Danio rerio: one gene and its partners. The protein of the gene in region 3 purifies or fractionates together with the protein of the main gene of each other region. This does not show direct contact. Links are inferred from orthologs where the notes say so. Each region holds a gene or a part of one and is shown on either strand. Other genes may lie near its edges.

Region 1 (5,678 bases), on a different chromosome or scaffold from region 3:
GCTCAGCTTCTGTTGAAAAGAGGAGAACATTTAGACTCTGGGTTTCAATGTACTAAATTCCCATGATTGATCTTTGTTTAACAATCATTTCATCGATTGATCGTAAATTTTAACATTGTGTCTGCTTTAGTGGTATGTTGTCACCATTACGATGATGATGTCGTTTAGTTACTTGCCCACCTCATCTGTCTTTATTAACATCACATGGAGAAAATTTCAGTATTTAAGTATTTAATGTTCATGAGCTAAGTGTTCGTTAAGTAAAATGACATGCTAAGCCATTTCAGATATATCGCAATCTGATAATGTGTTCCACAATGGATTCAATGCAACACAACATAGCTCAATGTAACAACATTACGTAACAAAAACAGAGCAATTCAACAATGCAATGTAACAACCTAACATAAGCTAACCTAGTAACATAAGGTAAAACTGTAAAAAGGAAATGTAGTAACTCAAGAAAATGTAACATAAGGTAACGTAGCATAAGGAAACGTAACCTAGGCTAACAGGGTAACGTAACATAAGGTAATGTAACAAGGAAACGCAACATTAGGTAACGTAACGTAAGGAATTGTAACAAAGAAATATAAGTAATGTAACATTGAAAACATAAGGAAAATTAGCGAGGAAAAGTTGTAACCTACGATAACGTAACATAAGGAAATGTAACAAGGTAATACAACATAAGGTAACATAACAAGGAAACGTAACAACGTAACAACATTAAAAAACGAAACAAAGTGTAATGTAGCATATGGTAACGTAACATATGGAAACAACATAAGCAAGCGTTACATAAGGAAACGTAACAAGGAAATGTAACATGAGGAAAAGTTGTAACAAACAATAATGTAACAAGGAAACATAACATAAGGAAAAGTTGTAACACAATAACGTAATGTAATAACATAATAAAGGTATTGTAACAAAGAAACATTACAAGGAAATGTAACAAAGTTACGTAGCATTAAAAAATGTAACAAGGTAACATAAGAAAACGTAACAAGGAAACATTACAAGGAAACGTAACAAAGAAAAGTTGTAACATACGATAACGTAACATACGGTAACGTAACAAGGACATATTGGAACAAGGTAACATAACATAAGGACACGTTGCAACAAGGGAACTTAACAAGGAAACATTGTATCAAGGAAACGTAACAAGGAAACATAACAAGGAAAAGTTGTAACATGATAACGTAACATAAGGTAGTGTAACAAGGAAACGTAACAAAAGGAAACATATCAAAGTTACGTAACATTAGAAAACGTAACAAGGTAACGTAACAAGGAAAAGTTGTAACATCTTAACCTAACATACAGTAACGTAACAAGGAAACATTGTAACATGGTAACAACATAAGGAAACGTTGCAACAAGGTAACATAACATAAGGTAACGTAACAAGAAAATGTAACATAAGGAAAAGTTGTAACATATGATAACGTAACATACGGTAACGTAACAAGAAAACATTGTAACACGGTAACATAACATAAGGAAACATTGTAACAAGGAAACGTAACATAAGGTAAATCTGACAAAGTAATAAAACATAAGGTAACTTAATAAGGAAACGTAACATAAGGAAACATAACATTAGAAAATGTAACATAAGGAAGAGTTGTAACATACGATAACCTAGCAAGGTAACGTAACAAGGAAACAAAACAAAAGAATATAATGCAATTGAACACAATGTATTGCAACGTAACAATGTAATGCTACACAATTCAACAATGTAATGTAACGCAACAATATAATGCAACACTATGCAATGCAATATAACACAGCAACCCTGGACAGTAACGTAATGCCCATTCTGTTATTCCAAACATAGAATCAGAGTTTCAAATAAACTCGTATGTGCTTAAGCTTCATTTTACCCTCGAATCTGCTGTAAATGTTTTGCACAAATAGACAAACCAGAAGAATTTAGGCGCCGTTTACACTAGTGCGTTTTAGTTTTAAAACAGCGTTTTAGAATGAAAACGATCCGCGTCCACAATCGCGTTTTACCCAGCGTTTCTGAACTGCTCTCCGTCCTGAAAACGCACATCACGTGACCACACAGACACTCTCTGGCAAGCGCTGCAGCTCATCTACCCAGATGAGAGCTCTGCTAGTCGGACTTCTCATCAAGCATCTACCGCTGGATCTAATATCTCACTATATTTATTAAACGAGATATTTCATTCATCTTGTTGTCTTTATCTAACGACATATTCCCTGACTTTGGTCATTAGAATCTTACTTTTTCTCAGGTAACGTGTTTTGGCTGAGCGCAAAGATAAGTTAATGATTGATGAAACAACGTAGCCTATTCTGTAAATTGACTGATCGCTTGCCTTTATTTCCTATAATGTATAAACTTATTGTATGTTATACTTTTATAATGGCCATTATCGATTATTAAAACTGATATTTAGCAAAAGAGAGGGTGTGTTTCGTATTTTCACTGAAATTGAAAGGAGGCAGTTGTTATCGGCTCCGTTTTGTTATAAATATCCACACAGTGAAGATGACGCTCATATATACAGCACGGCGCCTCAACATTTCTGCAGTCTGTTAAGTTGTTAATATTAAAATAAAAATAGGCAGTTCCTTAAATCATGTATACAATTTATTGTTGAGAAAGTGAAACAACGTAGCCAGGGTGATGTGAATGAAGTTATAAAGTACACTGTTCCCTTTGAAGATTTACCCGTGTCCTCGGTATAGTCTGTTTTCCATATCAAACTGAGAAGAAGAGACTGCAGCCTTGATCAAACTTGCGAAGTCTGAACTTACAAGGAGAAAATGCAGGACTGAACTGTGTGTGTTAGGCTACTTAATATTCAGGAAAAGCCCCAATCAGAGAGGCGAATGTCAGCAGCCCCGTCTCCGTTTTCAGATGTCTCCGTTTTCCATTATCCACACTGAGACGGAGCAGCAGCGTTTCAGAATGAAAACGGCCTCTCCAGCGTTTTCGAAACGCTCCGTTTTCGGCGCTCGAGAACTCCGGCGTAGTGTGGACGGTTGGCGTAACCGTAGCAAAACTTATGCGTTTTCAAACTAAAACGCATTAGTGTAAACGGGGCCTTAGACAACTTTTTTCACATCATCAGTATGGAAAACTGAAATAAAATCTGACAAGAACCTAAAACTTTGTCTGAACAAATTCATCCAGATAATGTCAGATAACTTTGATCGAAATGTAATGCATTGCAATCAGCCAAGAGTAATTCAGACAACTACCAATACTTTGTTGTTCCTCAAAGACAGCCTGCAGTCTTTGCTGTCAACTAGATTCATGCAAACCCGAACTTCAACATTTTCTCAGACTCGCTTTTCTCATTTCTCTTCACTTCCTGTTGCTATTTATTCCACTCTATGAATTCTATCCTCGCTTACATGAATCAACTGTAGGGCCCTGCACCGACTAGTAAAAACATAAAAAATGAGAGCTGGTGTCAGAAATATTTTTGAGTTGACTAAGCCACAAACTCCTCTGAATTATTTACATTATTGACATATTATGCTTAACCAACCATCCATTAGATGTTGTATTATCAATTAATCAATCATCAAAGTTTCCCTTGTTTCGTTCCTAGTTTAGATACAAACAGAGAAATTGCACCAGAGTCCATTTGAATCCAATCAAAAGCATTTTACCTCAGCAGGGACGTATTGCTCTGCAGCAGTGGACACTGTGGCACAACAGATCCAGATCAGAACCAGCACAGACAGAATCAGAGTGGTGGTCAAGATCCAGCCGGGCAGCCACGGGTTTCTGCTGCACACAAGATCAAGAGGGTTTAGCTTCAACAAGAACAACAGACTGCAATCATTAATAAGAGTTCAGAAAATCCAAATGGAGAAGAAGAGGCCAACCTTGAGAGACAGCCGAAGAGATTGCAGTCGTCCTCAGAGCCACTTCTGTCCATGAACATGTCTCTGTCTCTCTCCTGAATGAAGCTCCGAGGGTAGTCTTTATAAATGGGGTTTTTCGCTCCCTCATCTATAACTGTTAAAAACACAGCGGGTCAGTTTTGTGATCCTGAAACACTTCTTTGGAGAATGATGCTAAGAATGTGTAGACAAAAGGTGACAGGTTTTAGTGCTCCAGTTATTCATTTACATATTTAATAACATCACGTTTAGGGGTGTGCAAATATGTATCGTCTATGATCCTTTTGTAATGGATGTTTTAACGATATGCAAACTGACATATAAAGCGTCTTTTATTTAGTGAAAAACAAAGTACTAAAACATTCACTGTGTGAGGAAGCCCAAGCTAAATTACTCTATAAATCCAGTTCTCAAAGCAAAATTATCTCTGGATAATGTCATTTTTACACAAGCCGGAATATTAGTGCAGTCGCAAGTTGTTATAATTTTTAAAATAAGTTATTTTTATAGAGTACCAGTACTGTCTGTTTCTTTCTGTTTTATCAAAAAGAATCATTAGAATAAAAGCCGAAGCAGAACATTTGTGCATTTCAGAACAAATCTTAGATTTTGAGAATCTACAGTTACCAAAACCCGATCCGATACTTCTATGATACGTTAATAAAAGAATAGCAAAGAAAAATTTCCAGGACGCTTCTTATTTTTTTTATTTAATTCATCTTATTTTAAACCTTCAACAACTCTGTTAACAAACAGCACTTCTGTGAGGTAGCTTGAACAATTCTTCACTTCTATATTTTAGTGCAGCAGTAAATATATAATAAAAAAATCTAATATAAGCACAAATAGCACCTCAACTTAAAATACCCGGCAAGCTGCAGGCAATCCCAAGTTTACAGATTTTACAGTTTGCAATGGCCATGTTGTCATCATCAACTTTATAATACCTCCAGAACGCAGACATACTCGCACTTTCCACTTCAAGCTGCTTCCGTGTTCTACTTTGCTGCCGGCATTTAACCAATAGCGTCTCTGCAACAAAATGATGTCACGCCCCACGCGTTGCTGCTTCAGGGTGAAGTTACGAAAGAGGTCTAACTCTGTGCCACAGCATAACTATAGATGTATTAAAAAAATAATGACATACATATACATACAGTTGAAGTCAGAATTATTAGCTCCCCTGAATTATTAACCCTGTTTATTTTTTCCCCCCCAATTTCTGTTTAACGGAGAGAAGATTTTATCAACACATTTCTAAACATAATAGTTTTAATAACTCATCTCTAATAACTGATTTATTTTATCTTTGCCATGATGATAATACATAATATTTTACTAGATGTTTTTCAAGACACTTCAAAACAGCTTAAAGTGACATTTAAAGGCTTAACGAGGTTAATTAGGTCAACTAGGCAGGTTAGGGTAATTAGGCAAGTTATTGTATAACGATGGTTTGTTCTTTAGACAATCAAAAAAATATATAGCTAAAGGAGGCTAATAATTTTGCCCCTAAAATGGTGTTATAATAAAAATTAAAAACTGTTTTATTCTAGTCGAAATAAAACAAATAAGACTTTCTCCAGATGAACAAAATATTATCAGACATACTGTGAACATTTCCCTGCTCTGACTTCAACTCTAAATATAATTCTATATTTATTTGAGTCCTAATTTTGAGGTAACGTCCGATTCCGATCAAATCTAAAACCGCGTGATTGGGCCCGATTTCCGATCACGTGATCAGATCTTGACATCCCTAATGGCAATCATTAATG
Region 2 (5,709 bases), on a different chromosome or scaffold from region 3:
AGGGTTATCATGGTCTGATAGCTGTGCTTGTCTGTAATATATATTTGTGTGTGTATATATATATATATATATTAAGTATTACATTACAATCTTGAGGTAAAAAGTGTTGTGTTTTCCATCTCAGCTGATCTAAAAGCTGCAGTGTGTGTGTTTGACACCCGGTGGTTGAGCTAGATCCTCACTCCTGCTTCAGAACACACACACACACACACACACACACACACACACACACACACACACACACACACACACACACACGGGTTGCCAGATTGACAGAAGTGAGCTTGACTATGGAGCCTAAGGCTGATTTATACAGTGTTGTCAATAAAACCAACGAGACTCAATAGAAGGAACGTGTCCCACATTAAAATGAGTTTCAATCCAAAGCAACAGCTCAAATGAATATCTATTAAACATGTACAGTTCCTCACAGCAGAACACTGATCAGCTCAGCTCATGTGCTGTGTTCAGTGTTGACCGCTGATAATGTGAGTCTGACATGTATCAGCACACTACTGACAGCAGAGTTCAGCTCAGATCTGGAGAACACACAGTACAGCTGACTGACTGAATAATTAAACCAAGGCAACCCGGGCGCTGAAATATAATTGGCTACACTGGCAGTGGGCGGGTTAAAGAGACCAAAACACAGACAGACGCTCAGTAACACACATATGAATATGTGACTGTGTTTCAGATAAAGGTGAATGTTCACTGAGCATGTTTCTGAATATCTGCACACACATGATGCTGGTGTCATGCTTCAGTAGACACACACACTCACACACAGCAGCTTTAATCCTCAACTGTACTAATCAGAGCTCAACAGTACTGTACATGATCACGCACGCACACACACGCACGCACACACACACACACACACACACACACGGAGGAAAAGTTCACTTAGTTTATTTAAAAAAACAAAAACAAGATCATCTGAATCATTACAACAGCTTATAGACCAGAGGAGGAGCGACGAGGAGCTGTACACACACACACACACACACACACACACACACACACACTAACAACAACTGGACATCATGGAGAAGCAGACTGATGAGGAGCAGACGATGATTAACACACACGCACGCACACACACACACACACACACACACACACACAGTGAGGATGCACCGCTCCTGTAAAGTGCAGAAGATGAGTCGCTGGTGTGAGCAGAACCACAGGAACACAGAGCATGGCATTACCCAGAAGCCCTTGCAGAGCAGGCCAGTAAAGAGCGGGAGATTTGGAGAAGCAGTTACTGACACACACACACACACACGCACACACAAGTTTAGTGATAAAGTGAAGGCACAGACATGCGTAACCAAACACCCAGAGCAAGACTGGTGCATGCTGGGTAATGTGGGGGAGGGGGGGGGGGGTCTGTGCTGGTGAGTTTCCCTTTATGAACACTCAGAGGATCCAGAAGTGCTACAAACACACACACACACACACACACACACACACACACACACACACACACACACACACACACACACACACACACACACACACACCAATGCATTATGGGAAATCTAAAGCTTAGACCGGAGCTCTCTCTCACACATACACACACACACACACACACACACACACACACACACACACACACACACACACACACACACGTGCGCGGCTGCTCGTCCTCTGATAGCTTATAAATACAGGATATGTACAGTGTGCGGTATAAAAATAGCAGAGCTCTTCTGGCACTCATGTAGAAAAGTGGAAAACGGCGGCAAGAGTGTGTGTGTGTGTGTGTGTGTGTGTGTGTGTGTGTGTGTGTGTGTGTGTGTGTGTGTGTGTGTGTGTGTGTGTGTGTAACCGCTCAGGCACGAGTCGCCGCCGTGATTGTGTGTTACGCCAGCAGGTGGGCGGGAGGTGTGTGCTGATTGGCTCCTCCTCGTCTCTCATATAAAACAGTATAAAAATAAGCGCGCCGCCGCGTCACAGTGTAGAGCCTGCAGGGGGCGCCGCCGCGCGGCTCAGGAACTATTTGGCATGGACACCACACGCGTGTGAGTCAGATTAAGGCAGCGTGTGCGTGTGTGTGTGTGTGTGTGGGTCTGATAAATCTCTCTTCATCAGTGTCCACGTGTGGGTAACCGCGGCAACACTGTATAGAAATATATAAATATGCTCTTCTCTTACTGTACAGCGCCGCCAGAGCCCTCAGCTGTCCTTCAGCGAGACACAGTCACTTATATATATGTACAGAGGCAGTGGGGGCGGGGCCTGGCGCGCAGGGGGCGGGGCTCAGGAGGAGTCTGTGCAGGGCGAGGGCGGCGGCGGGTACAGCTGGTGCGAGTAGCTGCGCTCGGTGTACGGTGACGGCGGGCAGCTCTCGCAGTTCTCCTCCGCCGACAGGTACTGGCTGCGCGGCGTGGGCGGCGGCGGCAGCGGCTCCGAGTCGTAGTTCAGGTCGCTAGCGTAGCCTTTAGCAGCAGTGGCGCTGGATGCGTGCGGAGCCCGGCGGCCCGGCGTATAGTCACTGTCGCACACATCCGTGCTGCACGGCGTCGTCGGAGGAGCGAAGTGGCGGTAACTGTACGGCCGATAGCTGCACAACACACACATTAGCATGTTAGCATACAGAGGTTTAGCATTAAACGCGTGATGGGCAGAGGACATGTTACCTGTAGGAGCGGTGTGTTGACGGGCTGTTGGAGGAGTAGCCGAACTCCATGGTGTACTGAGACCTGACGGTGGCTGGAGATGGAGGAGGGTTCAGGATCTGCAGAACAGCAGAGACATTACACATACATCATCAACTCACTGTGTGTTATAGAGAGAGCCTCACACAGCTGAGTGGAGCTGACAAACCACCTGCAGGAACACTTCTCCATAACACCGCCTTCCCTATCCCTGAACACTAGAGGCCCGCTTCACTGAGTGCTGCAGGTCCGGTCAGATCAGGTCAGGACACTCTCATGGCCATTCCCACTGTCAGACGGTGCCTAACATTGAGTTCACACTGCAGGATTTAAACCCGATTGAGCCTGATTTGGAAGTTACCTTGCTCTCCGACAGATCGGCTGTGATTGGGGAAAATCTACAGGTGCTCAGCGCTCGGCAGTGTTTATGTGTGAACTACTGAACAATGCATCTAAGAGGCTCGCTGAAGCGTCACCGACACCTCACAGATGTAAATTTAATAATCTAGCATGCTGAATATTCCAGAACAGTCGGCCGACTCCACCCCACGCATGGTCAGATGTAGTGACGAGCCGCAGCCAATGAGAGAGCAGATCAGCATGTGCTGACTGGCCATGGTGCTCAGGAGCTCAACAGAAACGTCTGTGATTGGCCAGAACGGGCATCGATGCGCTCGCTTCATTCTGCATTAACAGACACGAGAGTGGGCTATATTAACAGCAGAACTATTAGATTACCACACTGCTCATCCTGACCGTTCCCACATGAGACGTCATATTTACATTTAAAGCTTCTATTGAGGTATTAAAGTAAGCTGTCTTGAATGTCTGTCATCATATTTCATGACAGCATTACACTGAAAGTATGATCTGTTCTGGTAATGCAGACTATTAATATGAAGAGATTGAGGTGAACACAGAACACCAGTGTCCATCTGCAGCTCCTTCACCAGACTCCACACTCATACACACTCGTACACACTCGTACACACTCGTACACACTCGTACACACTCGTACACACTCGTACACACTCGTACACACTCGTACACACTCGTACACACCAGGGCTCGAAATTGCGACCATTTTGGTCACATATGCACCCGAAAATTAATCTATGCGACCTCATAATATATATGGAGCATTAGTGCGACTGCAGATAATAGTTGTAGTGCGACCTGTTTTGATTTTTTGTAAAAACGTGCTGAATCGCTCTTCTCTGCCGCTATATTGGTTCATATTAGCTGTCAATCACTCAAGGTATTCCGCTGTCAGATGACAGGGAAGGAGCTTTTATGACCACGGGAAATGCAAATGGCTGAATATTGAAAACTTAAAGCGCACAGGTTTGCAAACCCCACCTAAAGTTGAGGCGCAGATGAGAGCGATCATGACACGTCACGTGGTGAATATTGATCCGCCAGCTGAGATCAATCGAGTATGCGCTTCTTGGAGAAGGTGCCCGAATCTCGATGCGTTCCGTTCACTGCGTGTTCAGCGCAAATGTCCGCTAAAAGTCAAATCTAATACTGTACATATCATCGCCAAAGAAGCTCGCCTTTACTAAGTTTACACTGAAACTGCGGCTCATAACAAAGACCGGTATTGCGCCGAAGGTTAGCGCAAGAATCCTGCTCTGCCTGCTCATAAATTGGGTCGGCTGACTCGCCTGCTTTTCCACTAACACAGAAAAATGAAGATCAGCTCAGACTGAACCTTTAAATTGACACAAACTGAAACCAAAACTTTTAAAGAGTGATAGAAGTGAGACTTTACTTACTTTCTTTTGTCTATTCTTGTTTGAGGTGTATATTATTTTTTTATTTATTTACTGATGACTGCTTTGCAGCTTTCATCATTGAATTGAATGATTTATTATAATCTTTTGTTTGTTTTGTAGCAGAAATATTATTTATTAAATTGACATGCATATAAAAACAGCAGCACAAAATAAATATTTCTTACTGCAATGCTTCATTTTGGTTTGATGCAAACTATACAATTATTTTTCATAAAGTAACAGACTTTTTATAGCAGATAACCTACATTCATGCACATTCAAGGCAGCATCATAATGAGAAATGTTATTCATTGTTACTATTATTGTCATTTTCATCATCATTAATATTCTATGGCCTAATTATTAGACATTCATTTTGGAATTATTGCACACAAATATCAAAGTCTTCGCAGCATTAGTTAGATAGCTGTTTCTGGTTTTTGTCAGTCCTATTGATGTTGTTTTAAAATACAATAAATCCCTTAAAAAACAATTTGCAGCGGTGCTCATTCATTTTTGGTGGTGCTCCTAAATTTTTTCTGGTGCTCCTAAATATTTGAAGTTGGGAGCACCGGTGCTACCAAGTAAAAAAGTCAATTTCGAGCCCTGCACACTCATACACACTCATACACACTCATACACACTCGTACACACTCATACACACTCACGCCATCAGGCCCACTCTCCTCACAGACACACAGCTTGTGATGTCGTTGCGATATGTACTTATATTTCTGAGCATCATCAGCCACGGCGAGGGCTGTGTGAGCATGCGCAGGCTGCATCGGAGCACACACACACACACACACACACACACACACACACACACGGGCACTTGAGGCAAATCAGCCTTAATGTGGAAGGGGGACATCACGGGCACAGTAACAGCTCTGGCAGAAGTACTGAAACAGCTGTGTGTGTGTGTGTGTGTGTGTGTGTGTGTGTGTGTGTGTGTGTGTGTGTGTGTACCGGAGGGAAATATGCTCCTTTAGTGCTGGACGAGCTGCTGGACGAGGCTCCGGTCACATGAGCGCGGTCGTACGGTGGTCCACTGCTGCCTCCCATGATGCTCAGCGAGCCCATGACTGACTTCCCTCTGGACATGCCTGAACACACACACACACACACACACACACAAACACACACACACTTTAATTATTCATGTTTATTGTTCATGAACACACACAAATAACAATAAAACACTCAGAAATAATCATATTAATCTCACACACACACACACACACACACACACACACTAGTATCTCACA
Region 3 (6,885 bases):
AAAGTGCTTTAACACTAACAGCTAAAGGCTTAAATAAGTTAGGGTAATTAGTAGGGCCAGACAGAATCTGGGGACATGTTTTGCTATTTCTGCAGGGGATTTTGTAAAAAAAAAAATCTGCGGATTTATGTGGAATGATTTTAGGAGTATCAACTAAAAACTAAAACAATAATACATTTTTAACTTTTATTTAATGTTTACTATGTAAATTCAATTAGATCCACTTATTTGGTTAACAAAGCAAGTTTCATATAACATATTTACTAAAGGACAGAAAATATTACTTTAAAAACTGTATTTTAAATAAATCTTATGAACATTTTAATATTAGTATTATTATTGTATCACAATAATATTAGTGAAATGAATTTAAAAACTCTCATCTTCGTGTGTGTTAATCAACAGGTTAAGATGTCATTATGGGTGGCACTGCTGTCGGTGGCGTCATTGGGGTGAGGTGTGGAGTTCCTGCTGTTTTGCTGTGTCTAGGAGCTCTGCTGTGCGCCAATGTGCTGCTCTATTTCTACCTGGATGCCCTGTATCAGAACACAAACCCTCCGTCAGCACACACACAATGTCCTCCTCGCCACTTTAAAGTGGGCACTATGAGCTCCTGCAGCCCTTGGTTAAAGTGTCCAGAAATCCGCTCTGGGGTTCGCCGTGTGAAGCTCATTGGACAAGGAGCTGTGAAGAAGGTGAGTTTGGTGAGATTGGTTCTGCAACAAATGTTTATTTTGATAATCAGTTAAAATCAAATTAGGGATGCAGCTAAACTTACACATTCATATTTATTGAAAGGGGAAGAGAGACTCATTTTTGACTTGACATATTTTATTACAATGTATATTTTAAATGAGATTAGAATGGACGCAGTTCATTCAGTTACTGCCACGGAATAAAAAATTAAGTAAATAATAGGAATGCTCATTTCGGTTAATTTTGCTAACCGACAACCGCCGCTCATTAATCGGTTATTAACGGTTTACTGGTCAGATTACTATTAATTTTATATTAAACAAATTGACGTGTCTATTTTGTGTCCGACACATTAAATATTGCATTTTAAAATACTGATTTATTTTTTTATGCTAGCATATTAATAATAGAACAATACAACAGAGCATTTTCACGCACCTGCAGTGTTTAGCACAGAAGAACATAATAAACTAAATAAAATAAATAGGACTGCCCTAAATTATTTTCCACTTAAATAATTAATTTATATTACAAATCGAAAACACTGACTGATTCTTTTTAATAACCGGCATAGGCTGTTTTTTTCCAATCATATTTTTGTCTTCCGTCAAATAAAATAGCTGACTATGCATTTATGCATTTATTTAATGCCCCGCTGTTATTATTATATCACAAAACATTTTTACATTTTTAATAGAATCATTATTTTAAAGATTATGTCTTGATATAGGCTATGGTTTCCTTTCTCTCCATCGCGGTTCAAGTGTGCACGCTGCGTGGTGAAAAGACAACAACAACATGCGCATATGCTGACTTTTTGTAAACAGTTTTGTTGTTTAAATATGATATTGCATTAATGTGCATACATGCTTTATAAGCTGTAAAATAAAAAGTAAAGCCTATTTGTTGCGTTTATGACGCATATCAAGGTCAACATCAGCGCTTTTTTGGCATCAACACGTCTGTTTCAAACAGCAATATTCTTCTTCCATTTTGCTTCTTTGGCAAATGTGTCTGTAAGCACGGGTTATACGTTATCGTCCCGCAAGTTAAGTATGTCTTGCAGTTGAACAAGTGGCCGACCACAGCTACGTGCTTTTTTCATTCCAAAAACGTGAGGCGCACCTCACTGCCTTTATGTTGACAAGGAAAAAAGAAGAGAAGAAGCGCGGTCCTCTTATGAAACGACTGAATCAGCTGGGTATCGATTGTGCAAAAGTGTTGCTGTCTGTGTTGTTACAATTGTATTATTTAATAATATTGTGATATTCAAGATTTGTACATTCATACAGCTCTGGATAACTTAAAACAGCGATTAGACCATCAGAGCGGTGTTAATGCGTCCTGAAGTAAAGCGAAACGGCTATAAACTCCAGCAAGATAGAGTGATTATATACAGAGCCAAATACCTTTATCTATAAATAAAGTATAACTATAGAAACTGTGTTCATCTTAACTGAAAGCTTCTGCGTGTTTGCTGTCCTCACGCATCATGCACCTGTCAGTCGGTCAGTCAGCACGTAACCCCAAATGGTTAAACAGATAGCGCACAGCACTATACGGTTACAGAAAAGTTTGTGCTGTTATTATCCACTTCTCTTTTAATACGTTTTGATGCGATTATAATCCGCTAATAAAAAACAACAACAACAATAACTGAATGTTTTGAATGGGTAATGTAGCCGTGGCGGGATGCATTTTGGTCCCTGCCATGGAAGAATGAATGTAGCAGAAACCAAGCTCTTTAAAAGTTCTCTGTAGTTGTCTTGACAAAACAAACTGCTGCTCTGGGATGAGCCGCGTGCAAAAGATGCAGCTCTTAACGCAAAGGCGCATTCAATCGGCCCCTTATGCAGCCAAAGTAAAAATATATATTATTAAGTCAGAATTGCGAGTTATAAAGTCAGAATTGCGAGTTATAAAGTCAGAATTGCGTGTAATAAAGTCAGAATTCTGAGTGATAAAGTCAGAACTATTAGTTATTAAGTCAGAATTGCGAGTGATAGTCAGAATTCTTAGTTATAAAGTTAGAATTCTTAGTTACCAAGTCAGAATTGCGAGTCATTAGATCAGCATTTTGAGTTTTTAAGTCAGAATTCAGAGTTAAGTCACAATTGTTAGTTATAAAGTCAGAATTGCGAGTTATTAAGTCAGAATTGCGAGTTACAATGTCAGAATACTTAGTTATTCAGTCCGAATTGCGAGTTATAAAGTCAAAATTATTAGTTATTAATTCAGAATTCTTAGTTTTAAAGTCAGAATTGCAAGTTTTAAATTCAGAATTTTAAGTTATAAAGTCAGAATTGCGAGTTATAATGTCAGAATTCTTAGTTATTAAGTCAGAATTGCGAGTTATAATGTCAGAATTCTTAGTTATTAAGTCAGAATTCTTAGTTTTAAAGTCAGAATTGCGAGTTTTAAATTCAGAATTTTAAGTTATAAAGTCAAAATTGCGAGTTATAATGTCAGAATTCTTAGTTATTAAGTCAGAATTGGGAGTTATAAAGTCAGAATTGCGAGTTATAATGTCAGAATTCTTAGTTATTAAGTCAGAATTGCGAGATATAATGTCAGAATTCTTAGTTTTAAAGTCAGAATTGCGAGTTTTAAATTCAGAATTTTAAGTTATAAAGTCAAAATTGCGAGTTATAATGTCAGAATTCTTAGTTATTAAGTCAGAATTGGGAGTTATAAAGTCAGAATTGCGAGTTATAAAGTCAGAATTGCGAGTTATAATGTCAGAATTCTTAGTTATTAAGTCAGAATTGCGAGATATAATGTCAGAATTCTTAGTTATTAAGTCAGAATTGCGAGTTATAAAGTCAAAATTATTAGTTATTAATTCAGAATTCTTAGTTTTAAAGTCAGAATTGCGAGTTTTAAATTCAGAATTTTAAGTTATAAAGTCAGAATTGCGAGTTATAATGTCAGAATTCTTAGTTATTTAGTCAGAATTGGGAGTTATAAAGTTAGAATTATTAGTTATTAATTCAGAATTCTTAGTTTAAAAATGACAGAATTCTTAGTTATTAAATCAGAATTCTTAGTTATAAAGACATAATTGCGAGTTTTAAAGTCAGAATTCTTAGTTTTAAAGTCAGAATTGCAAGTCATAATGTTAGAATTGCGAGTTATAAAGTCAGAATTGCGAGTTAGGTCAGAATTCAAGCTATTGCAAAGACATGTGAATTAACCCTTCAATTTTCGTGACTTAAATTGCGATGAATCAACAATCACAAATCTTGTCAGTCACATTTACCCTTTTTGCCTTTTCTTTCCTAGGTTTATCTGTCAGAGTGGCAAGGACAGAAGGTGGCGCTGTCTGTCCTGTCTTCAGATCAGTATGCAGATGACTTCCTCCATGGACTGTCAATGCTTCGTGCCTTGCAGAGCTCTCACGTGGTGACGCTGGTAGGTGTGTGTGAAGAGGACGCTGTGTTTGTTACTGAATACCACCCTCTTGGTTCAGTGCTGACGCTCGACACCACACTCGCGCAAGAACGCTATCGCTGGCGAAACTCCTGGCACACTCGCCTACAGCTGGCAATAGACTACGTGGCCTTCCTGGCATACTTGCACAGCAGTCCGGCGGGGATCAGAGTAATGTGTGACTCTAACGACCTGCACAAAACCCTCAGCCAGTTTCTTCTCGCTTCTGACATGCGTCTGTTGGCCAATGACCTGGACGCCCTGCCTGAGGTGGAGAAGGGGGGGTTAGGAGTGAAATGTGGGCATCATGAGCTCACTGGGGACTTCGTTGCTCCTGAGCAGTTGTGGCCTTATGGTGAGGATTTTTCCTTCTCAGATGAAGCCATGCCCGGGTACGACGAAAAGACGGACATCTGGAAGATTCCTGACGTGACACGCTTCCTGTTAGGGGACGTCTTGGGAGGTGATGTCATCCACTTCCACTTGTTTCAGATTTACAGCGAGTGCAAGAGGAAGGAGGCTCACATGAGGCCCACGGCCCGCGAGGTCCTGAGTGTGTATCGCTCTGTGTATGACAGTATGATGGAGAGCCAGTCGCAGAGAGTTCGAGATATGCTGTAGTGAGAGGAATCATTAAAAGGCCAGAAGTGAAAATTCTGTAGTCATTTACTTCACACATGCTTGCGTTCTTGTGAAATTTTGAGAAGTCAATGGTCACTCACTGATTATAAAAAAAACACACACACACACACATTTTGAGTCTCTATGCAGTTACATTGACCATAATTTAAGTTATGAAAGCAAACAATATACTTTTTTTTGTTTTATATTAATTATGACGTATTTAAAGGAAGACTCTTTGGCAAATAGGCTCATTTTTCAAGTCACTCAGAGTTAAACTGTTGAGTTTGATCATTTTAATCCGTTCAGCTGATCTCTGGGTCTAACAAATAGTCCAAAATCCTTGATTATTACTCCAGAATGAGAGTATAGTAAAGATTATAGAATACACATGACGTGTCACTCGTATACTTTCGAATGGGAAAAGTGAAACAGTCAATATGGCGAATGAAGCCCCGCCTTCTAGTACAGGAGCCAATCAGTGATTGATATATGGCAAATAAAGCCCACCTTTTAGTACATGAGCCAATCAGCGATCAGTATAGAATGACAATTCTCCAGGGGAGGGGCTTGGACTAGATGTGAGTTTCTGCAAATATTGTGTGATATGGACATTTATAAATGAAACTAAAAGGACAGTTACTGTTTAATTTTATTGGTTATTCATAGTATGTAATGTAATCGTAATCTTGGCTAGCAGTTTTGGAGAATTTGATGTTTACCCATTCAAACAGAATGCCTATGCATACTTCTCTAGAGGCGATTGAAAGATGTCCGCCGAGTGAAATGACCTGCCTTAAAGGGACTTTGAGTATAGTTACTAGCCATGTCAAGCTGGTCTTGGTGCATACTTTAACTACACAAGAGTCAAGTTTTACTTGGAAAAACTCTTTGGAATTGTTTGAGCGAGATGCTAATGGTCTAATCTGATTCAAGGATCTATGCTAAGCTAAGCTAAAAGTTCTTCTGTCAGACCCGGAGTTTGTCTAGAATAGATTTAAAGAGCCTCTATTATACATTAAAAAGGAGGGGGGGTCTCCAACAACAGGCTGATGTGCATTCAAGGTCAAATAACACTTTCATTGTCTTAGAATACGCATTTATTATTACCTAATTATCCCAGCGACTCACATTTCGCAATTAATTTGTACCTAAACCCCTCCCTAACGTGATGCTAATCTGCACTGATTGGTCCTATGGTACTCTGTTGTGATTGGTTGACAGTGTTTAGCGCAAGACAGAGAGAAATGCCCACCATGGCTTATCAACAATATTGAAGTAGTCAGAGTGCAGAGTGTATGTGTGAGTATACCTGCCAACACTCACGTTTTTCTCAGTAGTCTCCCGTAATTTCAGACCCATCTCCCGCCACCCTCCCATTTTGTTATTTATCCCGGAAAACTCATGATGGCCATAGCAACGACATGCACCAGTGGATTGCAGTGAATCGCATTTACTTACACTTGTGAAATGGAGGAAGAAACTGGTCCATGAACTGTGTACTATAAAGTTCCTGTTAAGCTCTGACAAAGTCCCACACATCAATAGTCTTTTCTGATCCTTCTTTTAACAACCAGCCAATGAATCCGCTGTTGTAAGCGTGTAGATTGCTGAAGCACTTGTCAGAAAAATGACAAGAATACAGCACAAGCCTGGGCTGTAATGCTGAGGTATTATTGCAAAAATAAACCTCAACCACTGACTCTTCACTGTTTCATCTTTGAGTAGAGAAAATAACACTAACTTTCCCCTCACACTTCAGAGCACAGCGTCTTCGTGACATGATTCAACTGGCGTCTGCTACAGTGTCCTTTTTTTTTTGGCTACTGTGTTTGTGGGCGGGGCCGGGGTTTTAAAATTTTCCCGGCATTGCACGTGCAACAAATGGGTGGGGCTCAAGTTCCATATTCTTGTCACGCCAGCACAGCTAAAGACTCGTTATCAAGACGATTAATTTGAAGCACTGCGAGTTGACTCTTTTATAAATGAATCAACAGTTTTAAACACTGCACACTTGCAGATTTAAGTCTTACCTGGATAATTCACTTCACTTAGAGCTGTGTTACACAATACATGGAAGGTCATTCTCAAAAACCCATAATAGAGGCTCTTTAAAAAAAAAAAAAAGGAAAAGTCTGT

The links.
Region 1: the proteins of pomk (region 3) and tmem59 purify together in Homo sapiens (affinity purification with mass spectrometry; 3 studies listed by BioGRID and IntAct, with this or other methods). This does not show direct contact. The link is inferred for Danio rerio from reciprocal best matches to the Homo sapiens genes POMK and TMEM59.
Region 2: the proteins of pomk (region 3) and lrp6 purify together in Homo sapiens (affinity purification with mass spectrometry; 3 studies listed by BioGRID and IntAct, counting the BioPlex papers as one, with this or other methods). This does not show direct contact. The link is inferred for Danio rerio from reciprocal best matches to the Homo sapiens genes POMK and LRP6.

Annotation. Positions count from the first base shown.
Region 1 is NC_133177.1:29,952,168-29,957,845, forward strand, and holds part of tmem59 (transmembrane protein 59 precursor), read right to left. Parts: intron 4,016-5,678; coding exon 3,883-4,015; intron 3,785-3,882; coding exon 3,664-3,784; intron 10-3,663; coding exon 1-9.
Region 2 is NC_133179.1:173,136-178,844, reverse strand, and holds the end of lrp6 (low-density lipoprotein receptor-related protein 6 precursor), read right to left. Parts: intron 5,548-5,709; coding exon 5,411-5,547; intron 2,744-5,410; coding exon 2,646-2,743; intron 2,570-2,645; coding exon 2,266-2,569; downstream 1-2,265. UniProt on the Homo sapiens protein: Component of the Wnt-Fzd-LRP5-LRP6 complex that triggers beta-catenin signaling through inducing aggregation of receptor-ligand complexes into ribosome-sized signalosomes.
Region 3 is NC_133188.1:9,976,469-9,983,353, forward strand, and holds the end of pomk (protein O-mannose kinase), read left to right. Parts: intron 1-405; 5' UTR 406-419; coding exon 420-695; intron 696-3,978; coding exon 3,979-4,746; 3' UTR 4,747-5,132; downstream 5,133-6,885. UniProt on the Homo sapiens protein: Protein O-mannose kinase that specifically mediates phosphorylation at the 6-position of an O-mannose of the trisaccharide (N-acetylgalactosamine (GalNAc)-beta-1,3-N-acetylglucosamine (GlcNAc)-beta-1,4-mannose) to generate phosphorylated O-mannosyl trisaccharide (N-acetylgalactosamine-beta-1,3-N-acetylglucosamine-beta-1,4-(phosphate-6-)mannose).